7 linked regions of the Neurospora crassa OR74A genome follow. The protein of the gene in region 1 purifies or fractionates together with the protein of each later gene. This does not show direct contact. Links are inferred from orthologs where the notes say so. Each region holds a gene or a part of one and is shown on either strand. Other genes may lie near its edges. The genes, in order: NCU02810, NCU04344, NCU02414, NCU00040, NCU07831, pph-3 and NCU08952.

Region 1 (3,926 bases):
ATAGACTATCAGGTCTAGAAAGAGAAAAATGAATAGAGTTACGTACGGATACATACTCGACTGTGTCCCATGAAGAGTATTGTTAGGTATATTCTTGGACTCTTTCCATCTATCCGAGCCATTACCATAGCCTAGTATAATGGTAAGATGGTCATTACGTCGAAGACTCATGGCGGAATCAATGTATTTATCTTCTCTACTTCACTCTTTCAAGTTTACTCTTATCATCACCACTGGCTAATAAACTCAATCCAAGTACGTCGGACCTTGACAAAATCAACGTAATGGCATCTTCTCTACCTCTACCACTACTTGGTAAACCCAAAGTACGTCGGTACCAAACATAACTTTTTGTACAAAAACTCCTAATGGTCCGATAATGCGCTTCTCTTCACGAGTTCCTCTTTTCACAACATTCCTCGCTCATCTTCTTCAACGAATCGTATGACCAGTCTTTCTACTGTCCTCGGCCCCAAGTTGGATAAAAATAAGACCATGTACAAATTTCACAAGGCTAGTTTTTAGAAACACAGGTCCCGGTTTCCCCACGCTACGCCGTTTCCTTCCGTGTCCGCGCCCAAGTTTCCATTCTTTGATCATCCTCCAACGACTTTTTGGATATTCATCATTAGAGCAACCAAAAATTAACAACCTTTTAATTTTCCTCCTAATCAAGCGATGTATAAACTTTGGATATTTTCTGGTCGCTCGCTTAAGAGGTAGAAGGCTCGAGGGTGACACCGCTGTTTTTTTTGTTAGTGGTTATTCAGTGGTGATAAGTTATGGGGTAAAGAAATAGAAAAGAAAAAAACTTACGCAGCAATGGTAGCCCAACCGATAAGACGCCAGTGCTTCTCGATACGTCTGGAAAGGGCAACCTTCTCGCCGATGCTCGTGCAGGCAGGGGAGGTGAGGATGAGCTTGGCGGCATCCTTCTTAATGGCGGAGACCTTGGCACCGGTGGAGGTGGAACCAATGTTGACCATGATGACTTCGTTCTTGGCAAGCTTGTCGACCTTGGCCTGCTTGCCGTCGGCGGTGCGGACACCGAGAAGGCGGCGGAGGAGGTAGAAGTTAACTTCGATCTCGGAGTAGATTTCGGGGAGGCGGCCCTTGAGACCGAGGACGAAACCGACCAGACGATCGGCACGGCAAAGGGTAGGATCGATGCGGGTACCAACACCAATGAGACCACCGGGCACGGCGTACTTGAGGTCGTTGGCCTCGGAGTTGAGGGAGACAATCCTGCTGAAGATGGGAGTGCACTTGAGGTCGCCCTTCTCGTCACGGGTGACGATACCGGGACGGATCTCAATCTCGTCGCCGAGCTTGAGGACACCGTGGAGAATGGAACCACCGGCAACACCACCCTTGAGCTCGTCGATCTCGGCACCGGGCTTGTTGACGTCGAAGGAACGAATGACAATCATCTGGGGGTCCATGGAGAAATCCCTGGGAGGAACGGGGATGGTGTTGACGATGGCATCGTTGATGGCGTCAATGTTGAACTTGAGCTGGGCCGAGATGGGGATGATGGGCGACTTTCCGGCAACGGTACCACGGATGAACTTGAGGATGGACTCGTAGTGCTGCTTGGCGGCCTCCTCGCGCATGAGATCGACCTTGTTCTGGAGGATGATGATCTTGTCGAGCTTCATGATCTCGATGGCGGCCAAATGTTCGGAGGTCTGGGGCTGAGGGCAGGATTCGTTTCCGGCAATCAGGAGGAGAGCGGCGTCCATGACGGCGGCACCTGAAAGCATAGTGCTCATGAGAATATCGTGACCAGGGCAGTCGACGAAGCTGGGAGGAGGAGACACATGGTCAGTCATTCATTGGCGCAAATGATGTTATGTTAAACAACTTACGAGACATGGCGCAACAGACGGTAGGTGCCCTCGCAACCCTCGCGCTCGCAAGGGGGATCAACCTCCTTCTCGGACTTGTAACTCCTGTAGCATGTCGGGCGAGGGCATGCTGGGTTGTCGCACTTGTAGATCTTTGCGTTGGCGTAACCGAGCTTGATTGTGATGTTGCGGATGAGCTCGTTCTTGAAACGGACCGTCTGGACGCCCGAGATGGCTTTTACTACTGTCGACTTGCCGTGGGCGACGTGGCCGATGGTGCCGATGTTGATGGTGGCCTGTCGCGCAATGATCTCGGGGGTGAGGGGGCTGAGGGTCTTGACGTCGAGGTCCTTGGGATCGGTCTGGGGAGGAAGGGGAGGTCTCTGGACGACGGGGGCGGGGGCCTTCTTGAGGGCCGACTTGCGCGGCTTGGCCTCGACCTCGTTGTCGGACTCGTGCTGGTCGACGTGAGACTCGTTGTCGGAGCCCGAGTCGGACTCGACGATGTCGTTGCCAAACTTGTCGCCGTTGGTAGCCATGATTGTGGATGTGGGTGGATGGAGGTGAGGTGTGGAGGTGAGTTAGGTTGGGTCGTCAAGTCGATGGATGGATGTGTCGCGGGGCAGTAATTTTTTCGCTTTCGGTGAAGCAACCCCTCTTGCTGTGTACTGTGTAGTGGGTGGTGTATGCCTGGTAGTTGCTGTGTACTTTTCTAGACCCTGCTCCTTGGTGTGGGTATGTATGTGGGTGTCCTACTGTCTCCGCAACGGGACTCGCGATATTTGTGATAGCGGACGTTGTTGGTGGACGGTAGAGGTAGTAAAACTGGACCTGCCAAAATAGTGGGGTTACAGCGAAGGTTGGAGGAAGGCTGAGAAGAAAAACTGCCTGCCTGGTGGATGACTCTGACGATATTTGACTTGTATTTGGCTTGTGCTAGGTCGGTATTTTCCTGTGCTGCCGCTGCCAGCTGCGACCAACAAGGCGAGAGCCTCACACATTCCGCTCTGCGAACCTGCCCTGCGTGCGCCCAACCCTTCCCGCCTTTGCCGCTGCCCCACTAAGCACGGTTTTCGGTTTAGCCCGACCGTCGCCTGCCCCACAAGGGCCGATAAGAGCGCGATAAGGACCAAGTAAGTGTAGTGCTAAAGTCCAGAGCTCAGTCACGGTTCAGCTTCAACATCATTGAGGTGACTTTTGGAACCTCTCTCCTATCAAGAGTTCGCCATCTACACTTTTATCCAACCCTCTGTCCCGTCTGTGTCGGCAGAAACTTACTCACAGCGTACACGGTAACTCAACGCTGAGAATTATATCAACTGAACGTTGAGAACGGGTACATTGTATCGATCGGCGAGTTGAATCCGGTTTCTTTCTTTGAGAACAATCGTTACTCTGCAACGGCCTCTCCCATTGACACCGGCATCCTTCGACGTACATACAAACGTTTCCGGGTCGATAAGCTGATCCATCATCAACAACGCCGAGTCTGCTTGTCGTCGTCAACTCTGAGGAGCACCCACGATGCTGGTCATGGCCACAGTCTCAACTCTATGAAGCTTGGTTAAGGGCGTCATCAAAGTCGTACCTGCTGCCAATGCCTGACTGTGGAGCGAAAAGGTAGGACACGAGGTGTCTTCTCCTGGATTCGACCCTTTCCCGTCAAGTTATTCGATATCTTCACGAAAGGTGAGGCTCATCGCTCTTGGGATAATAAGGGTTCAACTAGGGCTCAGTCTCGGGATAATAGCGCTGTGAAGAGTTGAGCCAAGTGGCCCGAATGTTGTCCTCCGTGATCTTGGACTGAGGCAGGGAGTAACTGCAACAGCTGTGCAAGCGTTACAGGATCATGTTATGTTTTGAGTGTATTTTGCTGGGAATATGCTCGATATACATCAAAACTACATCGGCCACCAACACGCTTCTCTCCCGGCCCCCAAAACACGCCCAAGCCCTTGTTTCACATCCAACCCAGATGCTTGTTGGATCGGAATCGGGAAGATTCCGGGGCCAAGACCTGTTCAACAGCGCGTACAACCGTCTCTGATGGTTCGAGAAGCAGTCTAGTAGGATTCAAGC
Region 2 (3,515 bases), on another chromosome or scaffold:
CCCCCATCCTCTCCCTCTTCCGAGACCCCCGCCGAGTCTTCCTCCCCCTCCGACAGCAACACCACCCTCATCACCACCGAAGACCTCTTCTCTGACCTAGACGGTGCCAATGTCGGTTTTCACAACTGGCACCCTATGCCCATCACCTCCAAAGGCAACACCCTTGTCGGGCAAGGCGAGCTCGGCGGCGTGTGGGAATGGACTTCATCGGTCCTCCGCAAGTGGGAGGGGTTCGAGCCGATGGAGCTGTACCCCGGCTATACGGCGGATTTTTTCGATGAGAAGCACAACATTGTGCTGGGAGGGAGCTGGGCTACGCATCCGAGGATTGCGGGGAGGAAGAGCTTTGTGAATTGGTACCAGAGGAATTATCCTTATGCTTGGGTGGGGGCGAGAGTTGTTAGGGATTTGTGAGTCGTTGTGTTTGTATGTGTAATGGGTGGTGGACTATGGCTGGTTGGAAAGTGAAGACGACGTGAATAGCGCAGTCTTGGTTAGTACTCAGATGGGTATCTTTTTCTTGGTTATGAAATTTCGGTCAACTACATGTATATGAATGGGGTGGTTTCATATGTCACTCCACTCGATCAGGCATCCCTGGTTTAACTTTAGCACGTACTTTGTTTTCCTTCACAGGCCAAGCAAGTGAGAAAAGAGACTCTTTCATCAACCAAACCTCCAAAGGATATCAGGTACCTATCCCATTTCCCGTTAAAAACGCCTAATAATGCTGCAAGGATATTTACCACAGTAACCACACCGATAACTTGAAAATGATCAAGCAGTTCCATCCATCCATCCATCCATTCATAAAACCGCCCTTTTGTTACCCACGCTTTTCAACACCTTTCACCTTCAGTATCGGGCAGCAAGACCCCCCTCACTTCTCATAATCAACCAACTCCCAAATCTGACTCGGCTGCTTCACTCCCTGCTCCGTCACAATGCCATCAATCAGCTCCGGATCGGTATAATCCACCTCATCGCGATCCGCCACCCAATCCCTCGCCTCTTGGCCTACAGGGTCAACGCCCACGTTGTCAAACTTGCTGATATCCTTCTGCTTGACGCCGACCCTCAACACCTGTGGGTGCCAGAGGGGCGTCTTGCGCACAATCTTGTGACTTTCCGCAGCAACCAAGAAGCGCTTCTGCGAGCCGCCCGCGAAGCGCGTGAGCAGAGCAAGCTGCGAAGTGCCCATGCGCGAGATGATGCCGCCGTTTTGCATGACGACCTCGCTGCCGACGAGGACGATGTTGATGTCCTTTTGGTCCTTGAGGACGTAGGCCACCTTGGAGGTCGAGATGGTCTCCACCTCCAGGCCGGCGTCGCGCAGGGCCGAGACGCTGGCGTCGCAGTGCGGACTGCCGTCCATGACGTAAATGACCTTGAAGTGCGTGTTGGTCCGGGTCGTGGCGGCGTGCACCAGGATCTTGGTCACCACCCGCGAACCGCCGGCGGCCAGGACGATCTTGCGGTGCGACATGTAGCGGGAACCGATGACGGCAATGTTGTCGCGGGCGGCCTTGGCGCGGGCGGCAAAGAGCTGGCGGTTGTTGAGCAGGTGGCGCTTCGTCTCGTCGAAGGACTCGGCGGTCTGCCCTCTAAGCGACCGGAGAAGGTACTGCTCGAAGAGGTCGGCGCCGGCTAGCAGAGGGAGAGGGTTCGGGGCCGAGTCGAGGAGGAGGGCCTTTTGGGTCTTGACGACCTCGACGGTTTCCATGGCTGTTGAGGAAGGGGTGACGCGCAAGAGCTCGATGAGCGATTCGATGGCTGCTACGGGCATAGTCATGTCGGGGTCGGAGGTGAGGAGGTCGCGGTAGGTTTTGACGATGCTGTTTGTTTGTCTTGGTCAGAGGCAAGCAATGCGACGAAAGGGTTCAGCGCGGTTTGGTTATGACGCGTGTGGTAATTACGCCAAAGCAAACTCACTCGAACGAGGCGCCATCAGTGGAGGTGGACGATGTCGTCCGTACCGCGAGCGGCTTGTTGGATAGGTCGTCGGTGGCCATGTTTCTATGGGGGTTGTTGGAGAAGACGACAAAGTGTGTTGATATTGTGAAGGTGTGGGAAGTGGTTTTCGTTGCCAAAACATACAAGTCCTCCCGGGAGGAAGCACTGTTGCGGCGGTCGATCCAAGTGGGGAGGGTTCGGGGTGTTTTAGTCACTTGGGAGACTTGGAGCAGGCAGGCAGGTTTTGGCTTTGTCAAATCGTACAGGTTTATGTATTGCGACAATGATCTGGTTTGTGGTATGCAGAGTCGATAAAATGCAGCGTTTTCTGAAGAAGCGTGCGTCTGGTCTGATCTGAAAGTGTGACTCAAGATGCGTACCTACCTCTACTAGCTGTACATGTAACCTTCTTCATCCCAAATTCCCAAGTGCGGGCGGCCCTTTGAAGTATTCTGCCGCCACTCACCGTCCTCAATGCGTACCTACTACTGAGTGTACCTACTGCACGTCAACGAAGCTCTCCGGCCATTCTTTGTTTCCATTTCATGCCCGCTAGGTATGTGCCCCGCTATCGGCAGCTGCTAGTGTACACTACTACCTAGCGGGGTTGTTGCTGCCCTGGGTGATTTCCATGCCAGGTGTTGCGGCTTGTCACCGCCGCCCACCAGTCACCTCACGGACCTTTCGGGGGCTCTTTACAGGGTCGAAACACTGAGGGTCCCCCCTGGGGCTGCGTGGATCCTTTCTACTCCAGGCTGCCCCTGGCATCTGCGCTGCTACCACTGTTAGGTACTTCCTGTGGCTTCCGCCCCGCCGTCCGCTTCCATGGAACAGGGGCAGCAAGGGGAATGTGAAGCTAACTTAGGGGTTTCTACAGTAGCGGAGGACCCTTTACCGTCATTGTCTCTTTCTTCATCGGGCATTTGAAACTACCTAGGTGTATGGACCCGTTGGTTGGCGATGTTGGCTTCAGTCTCTTCTTCTTCTTCTTCTTCTTCCCCCCCTGGCTTCCTGTTGAGCGTCGACTATAAGTTGCCGACATAGGGACTAGGTACGCTAGCAAGCAAATCACAAGGACAGAAACACCATTACGACCGTGACCACCACCACCACCACCATAACACAACACACATCATGACGACCCTCATAGACCCGGCCACGCAGGCCCCCCTCCCGGCCGATGCCATCCAGCGCATCCTCCACATCACCTCCTCCTCGGTCCACATCTACCAGATCCCCCCTATGCGCTCGACCAAGGGCCACATGGCCGCCGACTGGACCGCCGACCCCAAGGCGCACATCTTCACCGGCCGCGTGCGCATCATCGAGACCTCGATCCCGCCGCAGACGCCCGAGCAGATTGGAGAGAAGGACACGGTCAAGGTCGACATTGTGCTCGAGGACCCTGCCACAAACGACCTGATCGCCGCCGCCCCCTACACCACCCAGGCCGTCGTCGAGGCCACCATCGACAGCAGCCGCTTCTTTGCCCTGCGCGTGCAGGATCCCACCACCGGCAAGAAGGCCATGCTCGGCGTCGGCTTCGAGGAGCGCAGCGAGTC
Region 3 (3,972 bases), on another chromosome or scaffold:
ATTATCACAGGCATTCGTGCTCATACAAAGGAAGATGTGTTGAGAGCGAGGAGTATGCGGATGTCAAATTTTCCTTCATTTTCCCGTCCATCCATTCTCCCCTTCCCAAAAAGAGAACACAAGCAATATCTCGAGGTCGCAGGTGCTGCGGGTATAAGTTCATCTACACCTCCCCCTTTTCGTTCTTCCACCCTTGCTTCCTTCTTCCAAATAATCCATCCCTCTTGAGCATGCACTTCCATTGATAACCCATCTAGTCACTATCCTCATCCTCTTCATCACTGTCTTCGTTGCTATCCTCCTCATCTGCATTCTCCAGCCATTCGACCAGCACACGACTCCTCTCCTTGATCTTGGAGAGTGTATCATTCTCTGCAGCCCTGGCATCCGCCCACCAGGCGAGAATACCTTCCTCCTCGAGAACGTCCAAGTTATAAAGCTGCTGCAGCATGGCGGCAAGTAGCGTTCCTGCGCGCGCAGAATCAAGCCCCTTAATGGCTGCCAAAGCTTTCTGCAACGCGAGGGCAAACTCAGCGTGGAGATCGACCTTGTTTCCGCCGACGCCAACCTCTGTAATGAACTTGACGGCACCCTTCTTGGACGTAAGAGCCCGGCCAGCGGCCTTGGTAGGCTCAAGACCGCCGTTTTCGGGACTCATGAGCTCGGCGGCGCGAGTGGCAAAGGCTACGGCAATGGCCTTGCGCATCATGCTGTCCGAAGCATTATTGGCCAGTCTCAAACCCATGAACTCCAGCTTCGCAGAGTCGAAATCCTCGTTGTCGTCAGCACGGAGGGCATCTACAAGTCCGTGAACAGCGTCACCATGAAACTGGTCGAGCTTCATGACGGCGGCAGCGGAATCGTCAGACGCGAAGGAGGATAGGCGCTCCCGGTTGGTCTTGGCTTGGAGGCCTTGCTCGTACTCGTCATCCGAGAGGTCATCATCGGAGTCATGGGTCGCTAATGTGGAGATGGACTCGCTTGAAATGTTGAGGCCAGCCAAAGAGTAAATGAGAGAGCTTTGGAGAACTGCGGGGTCCGCATCGCCTTCATCCTCGGAGTCACTATCCTCGTCGTCTTCTGGCTCTTTATATTGGGCTCCCTTGCCATCGTTTCCGACCAGTTTGATGTCGGTCTTGACCGGCTCTCTTTCACTGGTAAAGAGGGATATTCTCGGTAGGGGTTTGGATGAGAGTTGTGTTCCGGCGCTGATCCGCACACCGTAGGAGATGAGAGAGCCTTGAGGAATGTAGCTGTGCTTACCAATGACTGCATCGTTGGCTACAATGGAATGCAGAACAGTAGCACCGTCTTCGATGACCGCGTCATCCCAGATATAGCTGTTCTCTATCCTCACGTTCTTTCCGATCTGGCACCTCCTTCCGATGATACTGCTCGAGATTGTGCTGCCGGTGTCGACATAGGCGGTCTTCCCTAGTACGGATTTGGTTACTGTGCTGTTTTTTGCGATGTGTGCGCCATCCTCTAACCACAGACCCCGTTTGTACTTGTAAGTTTGTCCGTGAAGAAGGTTGCTATCGGGGACATACGGTAGCGCCCAGCGGTGGAGGATATCCTTGCTGATGCAATCATACATCTGAAGGTTGCTGGCGCGAGCCCCGTAGCCTTCCTCAAGAATCTCGGCGCTGATGATCTTGCCGTTGAGCTCCCAGTCTTTCAGTACGCCGTGAAGGAAGTTCTTGCGGGGAAGCTCGTAGTCGAAGCTCTCGGACCACAAGGCCAAAACATCTGGCGTGCAAATATCGATGCCACAATCGATCAGATCGGTGCGTAAGTCGAACTCAGCATACTCGAATACCGACTCGTCCAACTTGACATACTTGTCCTTCTGAAGTGGGTGCATCTCTTCATATTGCAGACAACGGCCGTTGGTGGGGTCGACAACAAAGACAGGAGTAATGCCCCGGGCCTTTGCAGTCCGGTGAGGGCTGTCTCCTGTTGAGCGCAAGACGATGGTCATGCAGGCGTCTCTGTTGGCCTCTCTCCTTGCGCGGTGCCTAGCCAGAATACCATCGAGGGGGATGTTTGCGACAACATCGCCATGAATCAGAATGAAGTCACCCGAGATAAGACTGCGCTTGTCAAGATCTCGCAAAAAGTCACCGATGGAGCTTGCGTCGGACACGCGGATGAAGTCGACAGAAGAGAAGGGGCAGAGATTGCTTTCAGGGCTCCATCGGTCAGAGTCGTGGATGTAGGTTTCGACGTCTTCGGAGTGGGCGCCGCAGTAGATGAAGACCTCCTGGACGCCGTTGGAGGCTAGATACTCGAGCGTGTATTCGATAACGGGCACGTTGACCAACGGAAGGAGACACTGTCAGGAGAAGGCCGTCAGTACTCAGAGGTCACCAGGGACAAGGGACACGAAGCATTTAGCACGAAGCATGAAGGCATTTACCCTGGGCTTTTCAAGCGCGAAAGGCTGAAAGCGATCTTGGAAAGAATCGGCGAGGATGACGGCCTGGAGAGCATCTTCTCTCTTCTCCTCGGCGCCGCCCTTGGCGGGCTTTTTGGACTTATTGGCAGCCCCGCCCTTGCTGACTTGCTTGCCCGACATTGCCAACTGAAGTCTATTTATCAGCTCGAACTCTACAGGAATGGGTCGACGAGGGCCTGGTTGAGTAAGTGGCCGCGGATCGGGAAGCGCGGGGAAGACTGTGGTAGAAGGAAAAAGGTGGGGCTGCACAATGTCAAGAACGGCGCGTTTGAACTTCAAAGCTGGGGTTGATGATGCGCCTGCCTCGGCCGCCGTGCGGTACCAAAACCTTGCAATGATGAGTCAACGCAGTGACCCAATTTGTCCAAACTTTCACATTGTGTTTTCCGTAAGGTACTGCATGCTTGGAGGTGGGGCGCAGGGCTATCACCTGTGGCTTGTACGTACCATCGGGGCCTTAAGTTTACCGTACCGCGTACCAACTGCACTGAGCCTTACAGGTGGTAACTTTCATCAGTGGAAAATTGTGGCGTTGGAAATCACTAGCCGCATTTGGGCTCCCATCATATCGATCATGACAACTGAAGTAGCCGCATCAAGCACATCATAGCACCGGCACTGAACAGTACTTCGTGTCCTAGTCGTGTACACTACAACACGATAGTGCTTAGCATCTCCCTTGGCCGCACAAAAACGGCAACATGTATGAAAGGGAAGGTACTAAGTAGTGTGAATAGTACACTTGAGCCCTGGAAAGTTCGTTAGCTCGGTACATACAGGGGTTTTGACAAGGGAGGCGACTAGGGATAAATCCAATCAAATTACGCATACGAGGCCCGCACAGGAAGAACAGGGACAACAAAGCTACCGTAAATCAATCAATTTCACATACTAAAACCAGGGATTCTCAAATACCACAATTGTAACCGTAACCTCAGCCAAATCAATAGTCGGTATACCCGCCTTTTGCCTTAATAACCGCCTCAAGCCTTCTAGGCATTAAATATACTAAGCAAAGTAAGTAGTCCTCTAATACAACCTCCCAAGCCTTCTCGATAGCCAATTTAAAGCTATTCCCAATCAGTCTAATTAGGTATTCACACTCAATCCATCTCTTCATAAAGGCCCAAACGTTCTCAATAGAATTAAAATCAAGGGAGTAGGGCGGCCAATCGACAATAGTAGCGCCAACAAAAGCATCCTTTATAAATACCTTCGTTAACTTCGAACTATAAGCTAGTGCATTGTCTTACATAACGACAAAAAACGAATTCTCTTACCAAAATTACCGCAGAAAAGGGAAGACATACTTCTAGTAAATATCGCTAGTAATCGTACCCCAATCCTTATAATTCCAAAAGAGGAATGTACCCTTTTTTTTACCTATAAAGTAAATCTAAAATATCCATCCCCGAACTCTAATTTTAATTTTAACGAAGTCGCTAACCTTCTCATCCTTAAAAAGGGTAACGAAATAACAGCTTTAAGTAACGCTATTTACCTACGTCTCATTA
Region 4 (4,201 bases), on another chromosome or scaffold:
GATGCCAGGAATGCTTAGGACCGACACACGATTGACGATTCCTAATAGCAAGTCTTGGGAAGAGAAGGGGCGCCCATATGGAAGTTCCTTCATTCCTTCAGTGCCACTGGCGGGCCCCGGACCGCGACGGGGGTCAGTGCGCAGCCTGTAGAACCAGTAGCAGCGCAGCAGGGAACGGTTCGGTAGGCGGGTGCAGTCCGTGCAATTCCCCAGCAGGCATGGACGCCCCAGTCTCCCCCTGCTTGGCCTGCTGCAGTGCTGCGCTTTTACCTGCACTTGCACTGCTGCAATGCTGGTCGCTTTCGGTGCTGCACTCCTCTTCTGGGCAGCCAAAGCAACCCAGGGCGACGAGGAAAAAAAGGGCCAAGTGCAAATGAGACGGACCAGGGGGTCGCTTAGCAGGGTTTGGTTAGATTAACTCGACACTAACTACGACCGTAGACGGAATGGGTGCAGACGAGTTAGTATCAAGACAAGATAGCAAGTATCACCACGAGCTCCGCATTCAGGATGAGGTGCCGGCCTCCCTATTGTCCTGCCCCATCCGTGCCATTGTGATTGACATTGTTGCAAGCTTCTGGAAGCGGGACTGGAGGTCAAGATCTAGGAAAAGAAAAGCACGATGGAGGCCGTTGAAGATGGACTGCTGCCACCGCCGCTGGATAGGCAGGGACAGGACTAGTCCGACCAACCGACGGGACCTTTTTTGGATCTGTCGGTGCTGCTGTGCATGAAAGCTGCAGCAAGAATGGCAAATGCAGGGCAGTCAGAACACGACGGGTTCCGCCCCCACTTTATCGTCCCCCCTTTGATGGTCTAGCGGAACCACCCCGGCTCAGCAGGCATCTCCGGACGGGATTGGGAATGGCGCCATTGGGTGGGTGCCCACTTGCTCCGACCGATGATGGACGCGAGCTTGAACGCTCTGGGTGGGACGACGAGGGTACAGAGGAGAGCCTCCTGTTTCTGCATGTATGTATGTATGTATGTATGTACACTACAGTAATCACAGACCGTGAAGTCCTATGCAGTTGCTGGTGTGCATTCAGCTACAGGAGAAGAGTTTGCAGCCACTCTAGCAGTTCAAGCAGCGATATCATATGCCTTTTAGGAGGATATATGTTCTTACTGGGGATTATCTTCTCAATACTCGACCGAAGTTCGCACCACGATTCTGTTCCAAGTTCCAACTAAGCCTCAAAGTGCAATTTCGTCGATGACAGCCGTGAGAAAGCTTGGCAAGACCGCCGACGGTCCGTCATCGGTCAAGGCGGGGGTCCGTGGCCCGGCAGAGAAGAACGCCCGTCGCCAGCGGGCTGGGAACTCGGGCACAAAGAAAGAACAAAAGCCGCTGTGCACACACACCATGGAGCTCCTTTCTAGTGTACACCAGACTGGACAGCACCAGACGCCAAGATGGCAGAACATCCCACTTGCCCTTTGCGACAATCCAACCTTTTTACCATTGTGCACAATAGCCTCACAGCAGATCACGGTTAAGATCAAGAAAATAATTGCATCTCAGTCAATCCCCATTGCTACAGAAGTGACCAAACATCCATTCGCACAACAACTTGCACTTCACGCCTCTGAGTTGTTGTCGCAGCGACGTGCTCGATAAGCTGCATCACGTGACTGTCCCGCATCATCCCAGCCCACAAAGTGCTCCTCAGCAAAATCGAGCCTCTAGCCTTGGCCAGGGCTTTTTTGGCTGGCAACGAACTGAACTTCTCCACGAGGCGAAAAAATCGTCCTGGACAGCGCAGCCTCAGCCAAAGTCTCCAGCATTTCTACGTGCTGCTTTGCGCGCCGCGTCCCCTATCACCACTTTATCCATATCTCCTCCAGATTAGCCAAGTGCCGAGGAGTTGCCCATCATGGTGAGTTGGGAATACAGCCATAGCCTTATGGTTATGGCTTCGAGTTCATATAATCTTCTGCCCCTCCTTTGACTGGAAAGCCAACTCCATCGTCACCTAACCTCATCACCGCCCACCCTGCCCTCCACCCCCCCCTTCAACCCTCGACCACCCCCGCTCCCCGCCTGTCCCGCTCACCACCAAGTGTCGTCGTGTGTTGTGACCCGTGGTGACCATTACTGATCATCAACAGCCTCCCCCACCTCACCAAAAGCCTGAGAATGTTCTCAAGCGCGCCCACGAGCTCATCGGGGTCAACCAGGCCCCCGCCGCCCTGACCCTGCTCCACGAGCACATCACCTCGAAGCGCTCCCGCAATGTCCCCATCGCCTCCCTGGAGCCCGTCATGCTCCTACTCGTCGAGCTCTCCGTCGAGCAGAAGAAGGGCAAGCTCGCCAAGGACGCCCTCTACCAGTACAAGAACATCGCCCAGAACACCAACGTCGCCACCATCGAGTTGGTTCTCAAGAAGTTCATCGAGCTCGCCGCCGAGAAGGTCACTGCTGCCCAGGCCAAGGCCGACGAGGTCCAGTCCAGCATCGAGGCCACCACCTCCAACATCGACGATCTCGAGGCCAGCGAGACCCCCGAGTCCATCCTGCTCGCTACCGTTTCCGGTGAGCAGTCTCGCGACCGCACCGACCGCGCTATCGTCACTCCTTGGCTGAAGTTCCTTTGGGAGGCTTACCGCACTGTTCTTGACATTCTCAGGAACAATGCCCGCCTCGAGGTTCTCTATCAGAGCACCGCTATGCAGGCTTTCGACTTCTGCCTCAAGTACACCCGCAAGACCGAGTTCCGCCGCCTCTGCGAGCTTCTCCGCAACCATGTCCAGACCGCCGCCAAGTACTCGGCCCAGATGCACGCCATCAACCTGAACGACCCCGATACTCTTCAGCGTCACCTTGAGACCCGTTTCCAGCAGCTCAACGTCGCCGTTGAGCTCGAGCTCTGGCAGGAGGCTTTCCGCAGTGTTGAGGATATCCACACCCTCCTCAGCCTCAGCAAGCGCCCCGCCAAGAACGTCATGATGGCCAACTACTACGAGAAGCTCACCCGTATCTTCCTTGTCGGCGAGAACTACCTCTTCCACGCCGCTGCTTGGGCTCGTTACTACAACCTCTTGCGCCAGTCTGCTGCTCTCATTGCTTCTGGCCACAGCAAGAAGGCTGATAACCCGGCTTGCAGCGATGCTGACCTCCAGAGGGCTGCCACCTTTGTCATTCTCTCCGCCCTCTCCATTCCCGTCATCAGCACCTCGCGCTCTCGCGGTGCCATGGTGGACTTCGATGAGGCCCGCAAGAACAAGAACTCTCGTTTGACCCACCTGCTCGGCATGGCCCAGGCTCCTACCCGTGCTGGACTCTTCCGCGATGCCCTTTCCAAGTCGCTTCTCCGCCGCGCCCAGCCCCAGATTCGCGATCTTTACAACATCCTCGAGGTCGACTTCCATCCTCTTTCCATTTGCCAGAAGATTTCCCCCATTCTCGCGGAGATTGGCGCCGATGCCGAGATGCAGAAGTACATCCTTCCTCTTCAGCAGGTCATTCTCACCCGCCTGTTCCAGCAGCTTTCGCAGGTGTATGAGACTGTCGACCTTGAGTTCGTCGAGAGCTTGGCTCAATTCCCCGAGCCTTTCCAGGTCACTCGCGGCACCATTGAGAAGTTCATTATGAACGGCAACAAGAAGGGCGATCTCGCCATCCGCATGGACCACGCCACTGGCGTTCTTAGCTTCGATGCTGATGTCTTCTCTTCCGCCAAGGCTGTCCACGCCGGTTCCTCTGCCGGCTCTGCCGAGAGCGAGACTGGCTCTGTACAGCGTCTCCAGAGCACTCCCTCCCAGATTGTGCGCTCTCAGCTCACTCGCCTCGCTGAGGCTCTTTACACCACCTGCCGCTATATCGATCCTAGCTTCAACGAGGCTCGCATCAAGGCTCGTGATGAGGCCCTTGCTCGTGCTAAGGCTGGAGCCGAGAAGGAGCACCAGGAGGTCCTTGCTCGCAAGGAGATCATCCAGACGCGCAAGGATAAGGCTTCTGAGGCTCAGGCCCAGAAGGAGAAGGAGAACGCTCGCAAGAAGCTGCTCCAGGAGCAGGCCCTCCAACAGGCTGAGGCCGCCCGTCTTGCCGAGGAACAGAAGCTCCGCGAGGCGAAGCGTCTTGCCAACGAGCGCGAGCAAATCAAGAGGAAGGAAGTTGAAGCCCTCCTCAAGGATATGAAGCTTGAGGAACTTCAGGGTGAGGACATCGAGACCCTTGACAGCAACAAGATCCGCATGA
Region 5 (4,061 bases), on another chromosome or scaffold:
CGATTTCTCTGCATGCGAAGCCATTCCTTCTTCTTCTGGGCGAACTTGGCAACATGAGGGTCGGTTGGTGGAAAGAACCCAGGCGGCGGCGGTGCTGGGAGGGCAGGAGGAGGTGGGAGAGAGGACGGAGGCGGCGGCGGCGGAGGTGCTGATGGCGGCGGAGGAGCGCCCCAGCCGGGGGGAGGAGGTGGTGGTGGCGGATAGGACATTTTTTCGATTTCTGCTTGATGAAGCTTTGTTGACGTTTATGTGGTTGTTTCGTTGTAATCGTCTTCGTCAGAAGCGTGTACCAGTCGGCGTTGGCGACGAGATGGATAGAAGGCTGGATACCGTGAAGTCGCCTGTCCGCGCGATGGCGGTTTGCAGTCCGCGTGCGTCGTTCCAAGGCCTGTCTCGCTGAGGAAGAGAAAAAAGGACTGGCAAATATTAGATTCCCATTGGTTTTAGATGGAAATGGGCGTAGGTCGACCTCGCACCAAATCGCGGCGATGGTCGATCAAGCTGAGAATGGAGAGGTGGATGTTGTATTCGTGAAAGTGTGGTTTGGTGGCGCCAGGATGCTGGCGTTGACGTTGGCAGGTTGGCCTCGTTACGAAAAACTTGAACAGCCTCGCGACAGCTGCGTGGGCGGTCGATAAAGTTCAGAGGTCAGGGCGGGCGGTCCAGGTCCTGGCGCGCAAAACGGGAAACCTGGCAGCGGGATTCTTCGCTGTGCAGGTGCTTGTTGGCAGCTGCAGCCCGGTAGCGTCCCCGCCACTCCAGTTAGTGAAAGAGGGCCTGGGGTTGGTTGCCTGCAGCGACTGGGCAGGCTGGGCTGTCACTTCTCGACTTCGTGGCGAAACGTCTCCTGTTACGTACTGTAACTTTCGATACGCAATCCCCGTTACGTGGTAGATCTGGCTTGACAAGCTCACAGCACGTCTCAGATGCATGTAACCGAGTATAGTGATACATTATCAGTTCAGGTAGCTGATACATTGAAGGTGGGGCATCAGCTGGCTGGCTGTTTGCGCCCAAGTACCCAGACGACAGGTGTTGAATCTCATAGTGAAGGCCTGACAAAGCAATGCTTGATATTGTTCCCTCGCTCCGCTCGCCAAAGTATACACAAAAACCCGTTCCTCTGACAGATCCCTCATGCGAACATCTGCAAGGTTCAGACCTTATCTTCATCTTCTAGGAATCCCGTCCTGCGATCTCCAAGCGGAAGCAGGTACATTCAGCTCATAAGTTCAGCCTCCCCCCCGCGGAGCAAGTATCCTCTCCCCCCACACCCCTTGCTCGGATTAAGTCATACCCAATCATTACAGCGCTCGAGGCCCAAACAGCTCCGCTCGATTCGCTAAGCCCCAAATCGCCCCCACCAAAACGGCCTTTCAGTGAAAATTAATTCTTTGACCCCTCTGTCCGCCTCGCCGCAGCCGGGTTTTGCTTTGCCAACCATCCGGACCATCACCACTTCCGTCCACCACTCCAAGTACCCATACCGGTAACCCGGACTTCTGCATCGCGCCCATACCCCCGGAACCCGCATATTTATTCCGAGTCTATCGAAAGAGACCGCAACCATGTCTCGTTTCTTCCGCGGCGGTGACGACAGCTCCACCGACAGCAGCTCCGAGGAGGAGGAGGTCTACACTTCGGAGGAGGAGGAGGAGAAGGTTCAGGCCGAGGACGAGTCTTCGTCTGAGGAGGAGTCTGACGAGGAGGAGAGCGACGAGGAGTCCAGCAGCGACGAGGAAGAAGGAACCAAGAAGAAGGGTGCCTCCCGTTTCTTGCAGAGCGACGACGAGTCCGAGGAGGAGGAGGAAGAGCAGAGCGACGATGAAGCCACCACCAAGGTCAAGAGCGCCAAGGACAAGCGCTTCGACGAACTCGAGTCCACCATCAGCCAGATCCAGAACGGCCAGAAGATCAACGACTGGAGTCTTATCGCCAACGGTTCGTATATCTTTCATGCATGCATACACCCTCGATATGTCCTGCACCGATACTTACTCCCCTCCCCGCTTTAGAATTCGACAAGCTCAACCGTCAGGTCGTCAAGCTCCAAGATGGCAGCAAGGCGCCCAAGTCCTACATCAAGGCCATTGCCGATCTTGAGGACTTCATGAACGAGACTCTCGCCAAGCAAAAGGTCACTCCCAAGAAGATGAACGCGACAAATGCCCGTGGTCTCAACGCCGTCAAGCAGCGCATCCGCAAGAACAATAAGGAGTACCAGACCCAGATCGATGCCTACAGGAAGGATGCGGACGCTTTCATGGAGTCGGATGATGAGGTTGCCGCGCCCAAGGTTGTTTCCAAGGTCCGGTTCGAGGCTCCCGTCGTCAGTGCTGAGCAGCAGGAAGAGGACGACAAGGGCTTCTCTACGGTCGATTCGCGCGGCAAGGTTGTTCAGTACACCCCCGAGAGCATCCTCAAGCACCTCCGCGCCATTATCGAGTCTCGCGGCAAGAAGAACACCGACCGCCTCGAGCAGATCAAGGTTATGGAGACCCTCAACAAGGTCGTCCCCATTACCCCTTACCAGAAGATCCGTGTCCTCCAGACCCTTATTTCTGCCCGCTTCGATCTTGGTGCTGGTGGCGCCGCCCAGATGCCTTTGGACCAGTGGAAGGCCGCTGAGCGTGACCTTGCCTCTCTCTTGGAGATCCTCGAGAAGGAGAAGGACCATGTTGTTGTTGAGGGCGCTGAGGAGTGGGATGATGATGACAAGCTCCCCACCATCCCCGAGGGTGAGAAGTACCTCAAGGTTCCCGGCAGCGTTGTCTCGCTCATTGAGCGTCTCGATGACGAGCTCACCCGCTCCCTCCAAGCCATCGATCCTCACACCTCTGAGTACATCGACAGGCTAACCGATGAGGGCTCTCTTTACAACACCATCTTCCGTGGTCTTCTTTACTACGAGCACCTCCGCAAGGATGCTTCCCTCGAGGTTCCCCAGGAGAGCTTGAACCGCATCATCCAGAGGCGTCTGGACCATGTTTACTACAAGGTATGTATAGAGCTAATGCTGGAATACTCAGCCGTCTTTGCTAATCATCTTCTTTCAGCCCGCCCAAGTCGTCAAGATCCTCGAGGAGAACGCGTGGAAGCAGGTTTCTGCTGAGGCCGATTCTGAAATTACCCCCCGCAGCCAATCCGGCGATGCTGGCAAGCTCATCAACATCCTTTCTAACTACCTGTTCGAGAACAGCGAGGGCATCATCCGCGCCCGTGCCATGCTTTGCCAGATCTACTTCTTGGCTCTGCACGATGAGTACTACAAGTCTCGCGACCTGATGCTCACTTCCCATCTTCAGGAGACTATCGCCAACTTCGACATCGCCACCCAGATTCTCTACAACCGCACCCTCGTTCAGGTCGGCCTTTGCGCTTTCCGCAAGGGTCTCGTCTACGACGCCCAGAACACCCTCCAGGAGATCTGCGGCAGTGGCCGTCAAAAGGAGCTTCTTGCTCAGGGCGTCATGATCCAGCGTTACAGCCAGGTCACCCCTGAGCAGGAGCGCCTCGAGAAGCAGCGCCAGCTTCCCTTCCACATGCACATCAACCTCGAGCTCCTTGAGTGCGTCTACCTTACCTGCAGCATGCTCCTCGAGATTCCTCTGCTCGCCCAAACCGGTTCTTCGCCCGATGTCAAGAAGAGGATCATCAGCAAGACCTACCGCCGTATGCTCGAGTACCATGAACGCCAGATCTTTACCGGGCCTCCGGAGAACACCAGGGATCACGTCATGCAGGCCTCCAAGGCCCTTGCTGCTGGTGAGTGGAAGAAGGCCACCGACTTCATTCACAGCATCAAGATCTGGGACTTGATGCCGAACACCGAGGGTATCAAGACCATGCTCGCCAAGCAGATCCAGGAGGAGGGTCTCCGTACCTACCTCTTCACCTATGCTCCTTTCTACGACACTCTCGCCATTGCTACCCTCAGCTCCATGTTTGAGCTCGACTCTCGCAAGGTCTCTGCTGTCGTCAGCAAGATGATCAGCCACGAGGAGCTCGCGGCTGCTCTTGACCAGGTCACCGAGACCGTCATCTTCCGCAAGGGTGTTGAG
Region 6 (3,976 bases), on another chromosome or scaffold:
TCATCCCCCGAGATATAAAAAGATTCCCTTTCCTTCCTACCCTCTCGAGTTGTGTGGAGACCGGACGGATGGAGAGACAGGACGGGCAGACGTGGCTTTCGTTTCGTTGGCACGGCAGGAGGGGCGAGGACCTCCCCAAAAGAAGTGGTCGGAACAGACGGCAGACGGGATGATGGCTGGGAGCCCTGGCGATCAGGAAACATGGCGGCGGTAGACAAGCTGACGGTAAGATACTCATGTTCGTTGCGGGCGGGCGAAAGTATCAGACGTTTATCGGCGGCCGAACCTAAAGGAAAACGGGTGTGTTCGTAAGAAAATTCTTTACTTGTGCTTCTTGGGGGTCTTGAATTGCTTCATCTGAGACTGGGAACGTACTTCTGTTTCTTCTCTGCGGGCTTGAGAATCTGCAAAGGGGGTTAGCAAGAGTGCAAGGGTCTCGGAGCTTGCCAAAGTCAGAAAAACATACCTGGAAAGAGCAGAGCAAACTTTCGTCGACGCTCATCATAGCACCAGCGTTGTCGAACTCGCCGCAGTAGTTGGGGGCACTAAACAAAGTAACGAGCTGGCGCTTCGAGAAGAACTCATATCCGTCCTCAACAACCTGGTGAGCACGGCAGATCAAATCCATGTCGTGTTTTTGGAGGAAGCGAGAAACGACATCCGGGCCGAATGTGAAGGAAACACCACGATCGTTTTCGCTCCAACCAGTAATGTCCTTATCGGGATCCGACCACAGGAGATCGCAAAGAAGACCGCAGTCAGGAATCTGGCGCTATTGTTAGTGTCTCATGTTACGGCAACTAGCCTGAGCAAACGGAAAGCCCGGGCATGAATGGTGTAACGTACGTCAGTTGGTCGCATGACTCGGCGGATCTGCTCCATTGAGTTCAGATCCGGGCTCAAACCACCGTGCATAGTGAAAATCTTCTCGTCGATAATGGCAGCGATCGGTAGGCAGTTGAAGCAGTCGGTGAAGGTCTTCCAAAGCTTGATGTTGTACCTCCGCTTGCACTCGTCGTAGAAACCATAGATACGGTTGATGGACGCGCACTCGTGGTTGCCACGAAGGATGAAGAAGTTCTCGGGGTACTTGATCTTGTAGGCGAGGAGCAGGCAGATGGTCTCCAGGGACTGCTTGCCACGATCGACGTAGTCACCTAGGAAGAGGTAGTTGGCCTCAGGAGGGAAGCCACCGTACTCGAAGAGGCGGAGGAGATCATAGTATTGACCGTGGATATCGCCGCAAATCTAGGGAGGTGGGGCACGACGTCAGCTATGAACACTGCCGAAGGGGCAGTATGGCGCATGCCGAGGCTATGTAAAGGGATAATAGAAAGAACACAATGCTTACCTTGATAGGAGCCTCGAGCTCAAGCAGGATGGGCTGGGAAATGAAGATTTCACGGGCCTTGGTGCAGAGATAGCGAATCTCGGCTTCCAGCAGCTGCACCTGCTTACCAGGCCGGCTGCCCCGCACCTCCAAGAGGCGGTCGATTATAGAGTCGAGGTCGACTTCGGTATGGTCCGCCATTGCAAAATCCTCACCAACCGGAGAGATACCGCGCACAGGTTTTCGAAGTCACGGTAACGACCGACAAACCCCAGCTAGTCGGATGGGACGGGTCTAAAAGAGCGGCACGCGTAAGGAGTAGGAAACTGGGGTAGATGCACTTCTGCAAAGCTAAACGACTAATTCAAGACGTTAGACATTGCCAATGACGACGCAGATTCTGATTGGGGTTTGCCGCACGCGATCGCGATGGCGGGAAAATGAAGGAGGAGCGACGGCTGGGCAGAGACTGGGAAGCCGCAATGTAACGGCAGTTGATCAACTTACGCTCAGAAGCGATCCCAGCAAGAAGCGATTGTTGGGGGTTTTTTTTTTTTTGGAGAGGCGAACGCGTTCTCCTTGGGAATACAGCAAGCGGTGATTTTTTTGGTGTTTTTTTTTTCTGGAAATAGGTATTCTTTCGGATACCGAATGTTGTGCTTTGGTTTTAGTAAATCGTCACTGGGTTTGGCGGAGGTGCGAACGGTCTAGAGCAAGCGCAAGCAAATCTCGTCGGAATTGCGAAGAAATCGGTCCGGTAGTACGCGGCGACAAGAGGGTTAGCAATGATGGAAAAAGGAGACGGCTCCAGAAGTCTCTGATCGTCCTTTGTGAGGTAACGTGTTTTTTTTTTTTTGTCGCGCGGACGGGGCTGGGGCAAAACGCCGTGTCGTCGTCGAAAATCTGGGTTCGAAAAGGTCGGGTGTAGAAGGGGAGTTCAAGTAGTCCTGAGACTGCGGGAGAGGCTGTCACTGCCACTGCCAAAACCACGGTCGGGAAAAACTGGTCGATGGACTGCCCGGGAGAGTGCAAAGTGCTGCAGCGAGGTGCAGTACAGAGCGCTGGGCCGGTCGGAGGGTCGCTGGAAAAAGCTGCGTCTAATTGAGCGACGGAGGCCAGAAGACGAGATACCGCGAGATGATGCCTATGATAATAGGACTTCTATCGCCAGGGTGGGGTTGAAAATGCGCGTTCTTTGTGGTTAAAGACGTCGCCCTGTTTTGGTTGGGATAGAAAGCGTCGGGAGAAAAAAATCAACGTCGGTGGTGGTTGCTTAGAGACTTTTGGGAGGAGACGGACAAGCGCAGACGCTTCCACTTGGGCTGCCCGCTGCTGGGGGGGGGGGGTCCGGCCGGGCGATGGGCTAGGTAGAGGTAGGTAGGTAGAGAAGACTGGCGACTGGACTGGACGGGGACGCAGAGAAGGGATTGGGCTACTGGGCCGATGGAGCAGCAAGATTTACACGCACGCAACGCAGCTAATGAAACGCACAGGGCTTCCAGACTACCTACTAGCAGTGGAGAGCAGTAGGTAGAGGTAGGCAGGCAGGTCCAGGTCCAGGTCCGCGTTCTTTCAAGCCCAGGTCAGGTCACCTCGGTGCCTGCCAGTCAGGTTATCGTTACAACAACCACAACAGGCGTCCGGTCGGGTCGGGTTTCGGTGCAGTTGTGATCTTTTCCGCCGACTGGGCTCTCATCCACATCGATGGAATGAACAGGACAGCACTCAGTGACATGGAACGAAAAAAACTCGAAACATCCGACGCGATGGCAGGCCAGAACAACCCTCAACTTAAACTCAAACATACCTACCTACGGCTGAAATAACCCAAACAAGGACAGGCTCAGATTGGGTGAGCTAGGTTAGGTAGTTGGTACCTAGGTTGCCAGCCAGGTAGGTAGGTACCTACCTAGGTTTCGCGCCCGCTCTGAATCTCCGTCAGATCCTGGCCGAGCCCTTGTGCCCTTTCCAGTTGCAGTGAAGCGGCCCTTCCAACTTGGCTCGAGAAAAATTGCATGCACTCGCCTCTGGGGAAGCAGGTATGATGATAGGTCGGTCCATGTTGCTCACTAACGCGACTGGGTAGGAGCTGCGCTGCCTTCCCCCGCAACTGCGAGCACTTCTGTTAGCAAGAGTCCCGAACACCGGACCCTCCTTGGCAGGTCTAGGCCTGGGATTGGCTCGCCTAAAAGCCGCTTGCGATCCCGTTGGTGGGTGTCGCCTGGAACTTCCATCTCTCCCAACCCTCCAACTTCCCCCTCCCTGTGTAGAGATAGTGGACTGTGAGTGTGACACCTTACCTGGTATGTACACGGCAATAGCAAAGACGGGAATGCCTTCTTGGTCGCCTTGTTGTTACTTTGCATTGGTATTCCGGCTTTGTCCTCTTTGCTCGTTTCCCCCCACCATCAGCATCAGGTTCCGCAAACGCAATGATAGGCAGGGCAGCCTGGCTACATGGCCTACACCTAGATCAGGCACAAGCACCCGGTATGCATGATTACAACAGCTCGAAGCGAAGGAGTATAAAGACAGGTCGACAGGCAACGGATATCCAGTCAACAACGAGCAAAATATTCGAGCGACTCAGCCGCCGACGTGTATCCGCAAGATCAGTGAGACTGGGAGCTCGACAGCAAATGCGCA
Region 7 (4,179 bases), on another chromosome or scaffold:
AGGAGCGTGCGTGTGACATTTTGGTGGTAGTTGACTTTGACTGGTTGGATTATCGCGATCCGGCCGAGCGAGCGTATGATTTGAGGTTGGAGCGGATTCCCCGAGGAGGTAACGGGTTGAGCTATGTGGACGATGGTCGTGGGTTTTTGGACCGTCGGTGTACGGATCGTAGGTAGGTATGTAGGTCGTAGATGGATAGACTATGGGATCATGATCGGAGGTAATGACCCGTGGGGATTTGCACTGTAGGAGTCTTGAACAGTGGTTGTGTGTAGTGTAGGTATATAGACCGTACGTGTGTAGGCCGTTCGAGCGTAGACCGTGAGGATGTAGCCCCAAACAGTCACGTGGATGGTATGAAAAAGGAGCTGGAGAAGACGGAGAATGACTCCCGCTCGAAGAAAGGGACGCGATAGACAAGTATCGGTGTCTGAAGGATCGTGAAGTAAGGACAAGCCGTTGATGTATTGATTTACGTGGATAAATGACCTAAGGAGCGAGGAACCGAGTACGTAGACGGATGACGAGAAAAAGAGAGGGAATTAATTCGAGTGGAAAGAGAATGGATGGGCAAGTTTAAGTATCTGTCAGACTCCCTGTGCAGGGAGATGTATTTTCCAGGGAAATATATTTCGGCGCGCAGATGAAGTCCGACATAACAGCATCCGATGTCCGCAGCGGAGGCCCCGATTCCTGCTTATATACGATATCCTTACGTGATGCTGTACTGCACTCATCTAGATCCTTAAGTTCGATGGCGGCCCAGCAAGAAAAAGCGACACATCTTGTCCCTTCACCCCATCTAACCATGCCCGTCGAAGCCTCTGCCAGCGTCCAAAGCTACTGAGTCCGGTGAATCCGCAAAACCTCGCCATCGGGACTACCGAAATATGCACGATGATAAGGAACAAACAAGTTTATGGGTACAGATATGACTCTTCAGTTGACATATATGCAACGCACGATGTTGTATTTTCGGAACGCATATTGGTCGGCCAGGTTGAACCAGGAACAGTCGAGAGGTATTTGAACGAGTATTGCATTGGACCGGCAGCATGATACATTATTAACCGCGTCTTTTTATTTTCTTCATTTTTTTCTCTTCGGCTTCTAAGGCAGATGCAAAGACAAGCCCATATCTTCGAGCTTGTAATGGTCGGCCATGATGGTGGCAAGATGATCTCGTGTTTGGGGGCCACTGTAAAGTTGTTAGTGTTGGGGTTCTTCAGTCATCAAAATTATGGGTTCAGGGCTTACAGGTTTGTTAGGTATACATCGACGTATTGGGGTGGCAGGTACTCGCCCACGATGTTCTCTACCTCGAGGGCATCGACGGCCTCACCGTCGGCATAGTCGACATACGTCGAAGAATCTCCCTGCTCGAACTCGGTCCCATCGTCCGACGGATCTACGGGGCAGAACTTGTAAACACCGCTTAGAACGATAACGGGCTTGGAGTACTCCTGCGCTGCCCTAGCAGCAGTACTGCACCCACTCTCTGTGGAAATACCGCCGTTCGCATATACGGCCTTGGCGCTGATAACGACCTTGTTCACCCTAGGCATATAGGCCATCAAGCCGTTGCTAGCCAGGCTGATGGCGTTGACCCCGAGACCGTTGAGCTTCTTCCGTAGGGCAGCATGGGGCACCTCGCCGGGTTTTTGACGCTCAGCGCTGGCGATGAACACGGTAAACCTCCTCTTTGCTGCGGCTTTGAGGAGGAATCTCTCGACTGTTGGGGAGGGGAGGTAGGCGAGCACGTAATCGCCGGGGTGAATCTGGATGTCCGCGAAACCCGCAATCTGGTCGTCCGCCTGGCTGATCTCGTCCATAATCTCTTCGATGCCATCGATAACTTCGGACCGTAGGGCATGCATGTTGGCAGATGCGCCCTGGGACATGGGGGTAGATGCGCCGGTAACTGGTGACTGTGCGGTCTCTGAGACGCAGAGAAGGTTGAACATGGACTTGGACATGGGGAGAGTCGCGGCGCGGAGGGGCGTGGGGCCTGGCCTTGTGGAAATGGTGGGCGTTGTGGGCAGCTGGGAGAGGTCGGATACTGAGTCGCCCATCTCGTCGGCATTTCTGTCCTCGGAAGCCTCATCACGAATAAGACCCATTACTCGGCGGACAACGTTGCCGATGACTTGCTCAGTGGGAGCAGCTTGGGCAAGTCTGTGGCCGGTGTTGGAGACCTTTGCGAGCAGCTGATCGACGTTCTGCCACTTAGACTTGGCGACGACCTGGAGCAGCATATGGGCTGTGGCATTGGCGACATCATCGCCCTTGACTTGGCGACGTTTTAGGAGGCTGCCCAACCATGTTAGGATCTGATATAAGATAGATATGAAGCAGGCGTAGGCGTACTAAATAAGAGCCTCGATAGAAGCCTCCAAGGGCTGAGTGTTGAGAGACTTGAGGAGCTTGCCCAACGTGGGGGCATAGCTCATTTGCGACGACGCCATGGCGATGAGCTGTGTATAGTACTCTGTGTGCTACTGAGGTATTGTGGAGGTGATGTCGAAGTGAGAGTGCGACTGTTCCCTGCTCGAGGCTGTATGGTCTTTACGAATGGTACTGGACGGATATCTATGAAATCGATATAGGCGGGGGGGAATGACAAGGCTGCTGGTCGCAAAAAGGTTCTCCAACAATAGCTTCCAGAACTGGGCCAATGTCGCTTGGGATTGTGGACTTTTTGCCAGTGAATTGTCGAGGTGAGTCAATGGCTCACACTGAATGCGCTTGGAGGTAGGTATCACAAGCTCTAGAAATTTAGTGGGGCAGGCAAGCAACCGGCCTTCAAGGACAAAGCACTGCCGCTGTTTGCCAGTTTGCGGCAGGCTAGAAGCAGGCCTTGTTTAAGTTCAAGACTACTACTAATCCCTGTCGTACTGAATGGAAAGCCCCACCAAGCAAAAGGTGGAAGTTTAAGACATTTCCTCTTATCGCGTGCTTATCGGAAAATTGGTCCCTCTTATCGCACCCAATTCCAGGCGCTCACCTGCATTATCGGCCCCCGGGCGGAACGGCTTTACAATTGGCCTACAAATTTTTGGTCGCGTCGCTCTGCTTTGATTGACTGGGTCACTTGATGGACCCAGTAAAATCTGCGTTGAAGAATCCATTTCTGCGATCAACCGCCCCATCACGATACCAAATACCTTGACGCCCCAACCCAGTAACTTTTTTTTCTCTTTACTGCAGTGGTTGTCTGTATAACCATTCTTTAATTCCTGTTTGATACCCCATCCCCCTCCACCACCAACTTTATCTACACACACCCAACCACCACCACCAACAACAACACACACACACATTTAATCCGACAAGATGGGTGCCACCGACAAGATCAAGGAGAAGAAGGACAAGTCCGAGAAGAAGGACAAGAAGGAGAAGAAGATGAGCGAGGAGGCCGGTGTCAAGAAGGAGAAGAAGGACAAGAAGGAGAAGAAGGAGAAGACCGAGAAGCTCGCCAAGGCCGTCGAGGCTCACCTCGAGAAGGAGGGTTCCGTCGACCCTGAGGATGTCGTCAAGACCGCCGAGGACCTCGTCCCCTTTGCCCTTCCCCTCGCCGACGACAAGACCCACAAGAAGATTTACAAGTTGATCAAGAAGGGTACGTTTTGTGACTACTCTCCAATTGCATTGCCAGGCTCCTCAATCGCAGCCCACGCACGACTTGTACTGAACCCAAGCTAACTTTTGATTAAAAAAAACAAACAGGCGCCAAGCTCAAGTCCATCCACCGCGGCGTAAAAGAGTGCGAGAAGGCCATCAAGAAGTGCCCCCTCCGGACCGCCGCCTCCCCTCCCGCCGACGCTCCCGGCCTCGTCATCATCGCCGGCGACATCTCGCCCATGGACGTGATCATGCACTTCCCCATTCTGTGCGAGGAGCACGGCGTTCCCTACCTGTACATTCGCTCGCGCGCCGACCTCGGCGTTGCCGCCTGCACCAAGCGCGCCACCTCGGTGGTGATGCTCAAGCCCGAGGGCAAGAAGTCCTCTGGCAAGGAGGAGGGCGACAAGGTCGACCCTGCCGAGTACCTCGAGGCCTACAAGGAGCTGGTCAAGACGGCGCAAAAACAGTGGAACGTCCAGGTCGAGCCCTGGGTCAAGGGTACTCACCCGCTCCAGATCGAGGCCAAGGTCAAGGGCACTGCCTAAATTGGCGGGA

What was found.
Region 2: the proteins of NCU02810 (region 1) and NCU04344 purify together in Saccharomyces cerevisiae (affinity purification with mass spectrometry; 4 studies listed by BioGRID). This does not show direct contact. The link is inferred for Neurospora crassa OR74A from reciprocal best matches to the Saccharomyces cerevisiae genes GCD11 and GCN3.
Region 3: the proteins of NCU02810 (region 1) and NCU02414 purify together in Saccharomyces cerevisiae (affinity purification with mass spectrometry; 8 studies listed by BioGRID, with this or other methods). This does not show direct contact. The link is inferred for Neurospora crassa OR74A from reciprocal best matches to the Saccharomyces cerevisiae genes GCD11 and GCD6.
Region 4: the proteins of NCU02810 (region 1) and NCU00040 purify together in Saccharomyces cerevisiae (affinity purification with mass spectrometry; 6 studies listed by BioGRID, with this or other methods). This does not show direct contact. The link is inferred for Neurospora crassa OR74A from reciprocal best matches to the Saccharomyces cerevisiae genes GCD11 and RPG1.
Region 5: the proteins of NCU02810 (region 1) and NCU07831 purify together in Saccharomyces cerevisiae (affinity purification with mass spectrometry; 4 studies listed by BioGRID). This does not show direct contact. The link is inferred for Neurospora crassa OR74A from reciprocal best matches to the Saccharomyces cerevisiae genes GCD11 and NIP1.
Region 6: the proteins of NCU02810 (region 1) and pph-3 purify together in Saccharomyces cerevisiae (affinity purification with mass spectrometry; 3 studies listed by BioGRID, with this or other methods). This does not show direct contact. The link is inferred for Neurospora crassa OR74A from reciprocal best matches to the Saccharomyces cerevisiae genes GCD11 and GLC7.
Region 7: the proteins of NCU02810 (region 1) and NCU08952 purify together in Saccharomyces cerevisiae (affinity purification with mass spectrometry; 8 studies listed by BioGRID, with this or other methods). This does not show direct contact. The link is inferred for Neurospora crassa OR74A from reciprocal best matches to the Saccharomyces cerevisiae genes GCD11 and GCD7.

The regions. Positions count from the first base shown.
Region 1 is NC_026501.1:9,046,539-9,050,464, reverse strand, and holds NCU02810 (eukaryotic translation initiation factor 2 gamma subunit), read right to left. Parts: upstream 2,801-3,926; 5' UTR 2,387-2,800; coding exon 1,869-2,386; intron 1,804-1,868; coding exon 817-1,803; intron 744-816; coding exon 713-743; 3' UTR 253-712; downstream 1-252. UniProt on the Saccharomyces cerevisiae protein: As a subunit of eukaryotic initiation factor 2 eIF2, involved in the early steps of protein synthesis.
Region 2 is NC_026504.1:3,704,339-3,707,853, reverse strand, and holds NCU04344 (translation initiation factor eIF-2B alpha subunit), read right to left. Parts: upstream 2,331-3,515; 5' UTR 2,013-2,330; coding exon 1,933-2,012; intron 1,836-1,932; coding exon 881-1,835; 3' UTR 501-880; downstream 1-500. Other genes in the region: egt-1 (DUF323 domain-containing protein), read left to right, coding at 1-414; NCU04345 (adaptin ear-binding coat-associated protein 2), read left to right, coding at 3,088-3,515. UniProt on the Saccharomyces cerevisiae protein: Acts as a component of the translation initiation factor 2B (eIF2B) complex, which catalyzes the exchange of GDP for GTP on the eukaryotic initiation factor 2 (eIF2) complex gamma subunit.
Region 3 is NC_026507.1:2,573,194-2,577,165, forward strand, and holds the start of NCU02414 (translation initiation factor eif-2b epsilon subunit), read right to left. Parts: upstream 2,801-3,972; 5' UTR 2,579-2,800; coding exon 2,420-2,578; intron 2,336-2,419; coding exon 254-2,335; 3' UTR 1-253. UniProt on the Saccharomyces cerevisiae protein: Acts as a catalytic component of the translation initiation factor 2B (eIF2B) complex, which catalyzes the exchange of GDP for GTP on eukaryotic initiation factor 2 (eIF2) and is regulated by phosphorylated eIF2.
Region 4 is NC_026503.1:2,375,198-2,379,398, reverse strand, and holds the start of NCU00040 (eukaryotic translation initiation factor 3 110 kDa subunit), read left to right. Parts: upstream 1-1,401; 5' UTR 1,402-1,877; coding exon 1,878-1,880; intron 1,881-2,112; coding exon 2,113-4,201.
Region 5 is NC_026503.1:1,003,716-1,007,776, reverse strand, and holds the start of NCU07831 (eukaryotic translation initiation factor 3), read left to right. Parts: upstream 1-1,261; 5' UTR 1,262-1,568; coding exon 1,569-1,941; intron 1,942-2,015; coding exon 2,016-2,998; intron 2,999-3,056; coding exon 3,057-4,061. Other genes in the region: NCU07832 (pre-mRNA processing splicing factor 8), read right to left, coding at 1-209. UniProt on the Saccharomyces cerevisiae protein: Component of the eukaryotic translation initiation factor 3 (eIF-3) complex, which is involved in protein synthesis of a specialized repertoire of mRNAs and, together with other initiation factors, stimulates binding of mRNA and methionyl-tRNAi to the 40S ribosome.
Region 6 is NC_026503.1:2,384,687-2,388,662, forward strand, and holds the start of pph-3 (serine/threonine-protein phosphatase PP1), read right to left. Parts: upstream 2,801-3,976; 5' UTR 1,838-2,800; intron 1,690-1,837; 5' UTR 1,532-1,689; coding exon 1,352-1,531; intron 1,249-1,351; coding exon 847-1,248; intron 767-846; coding exon 467-766; intron 405-466; coding exon 376-404; intron 287-375; coding exon 271-286; 3' UTR 1-270.
Region 7 is NC_026505.1:5,799,596-5,803,774, reverse strand, and holds NCU08952 (translation regulator GCD7), read right to left. Parts: upstream 2,801-4,179; 5' UTR 2,466-2,800; coding exon 2,368-2,465; intron 2,311-2,367; coding exon 1,258-2,310; intron 1,199-1,257; coding exon 1,111-1,198; 3' UTR 451-1,110; downstream 1-450. Other genes in the region: NCU08953 (hypothetical protein), read right to left, coding at 1-19; NCU08951 (ribosome biogenesis protein Nhp2), read left to right, coding at 3,334-3,619, 3,727-4,169. UniProt on the Saccharomyces cerevisiae protein: Acts as a component of the translation initiation factor 2B (eIF2B) complex, which catalyzes the exchange of GDP for GTP on the eukaryotic initiation factor 2 (eIF2) complex gamma subunit.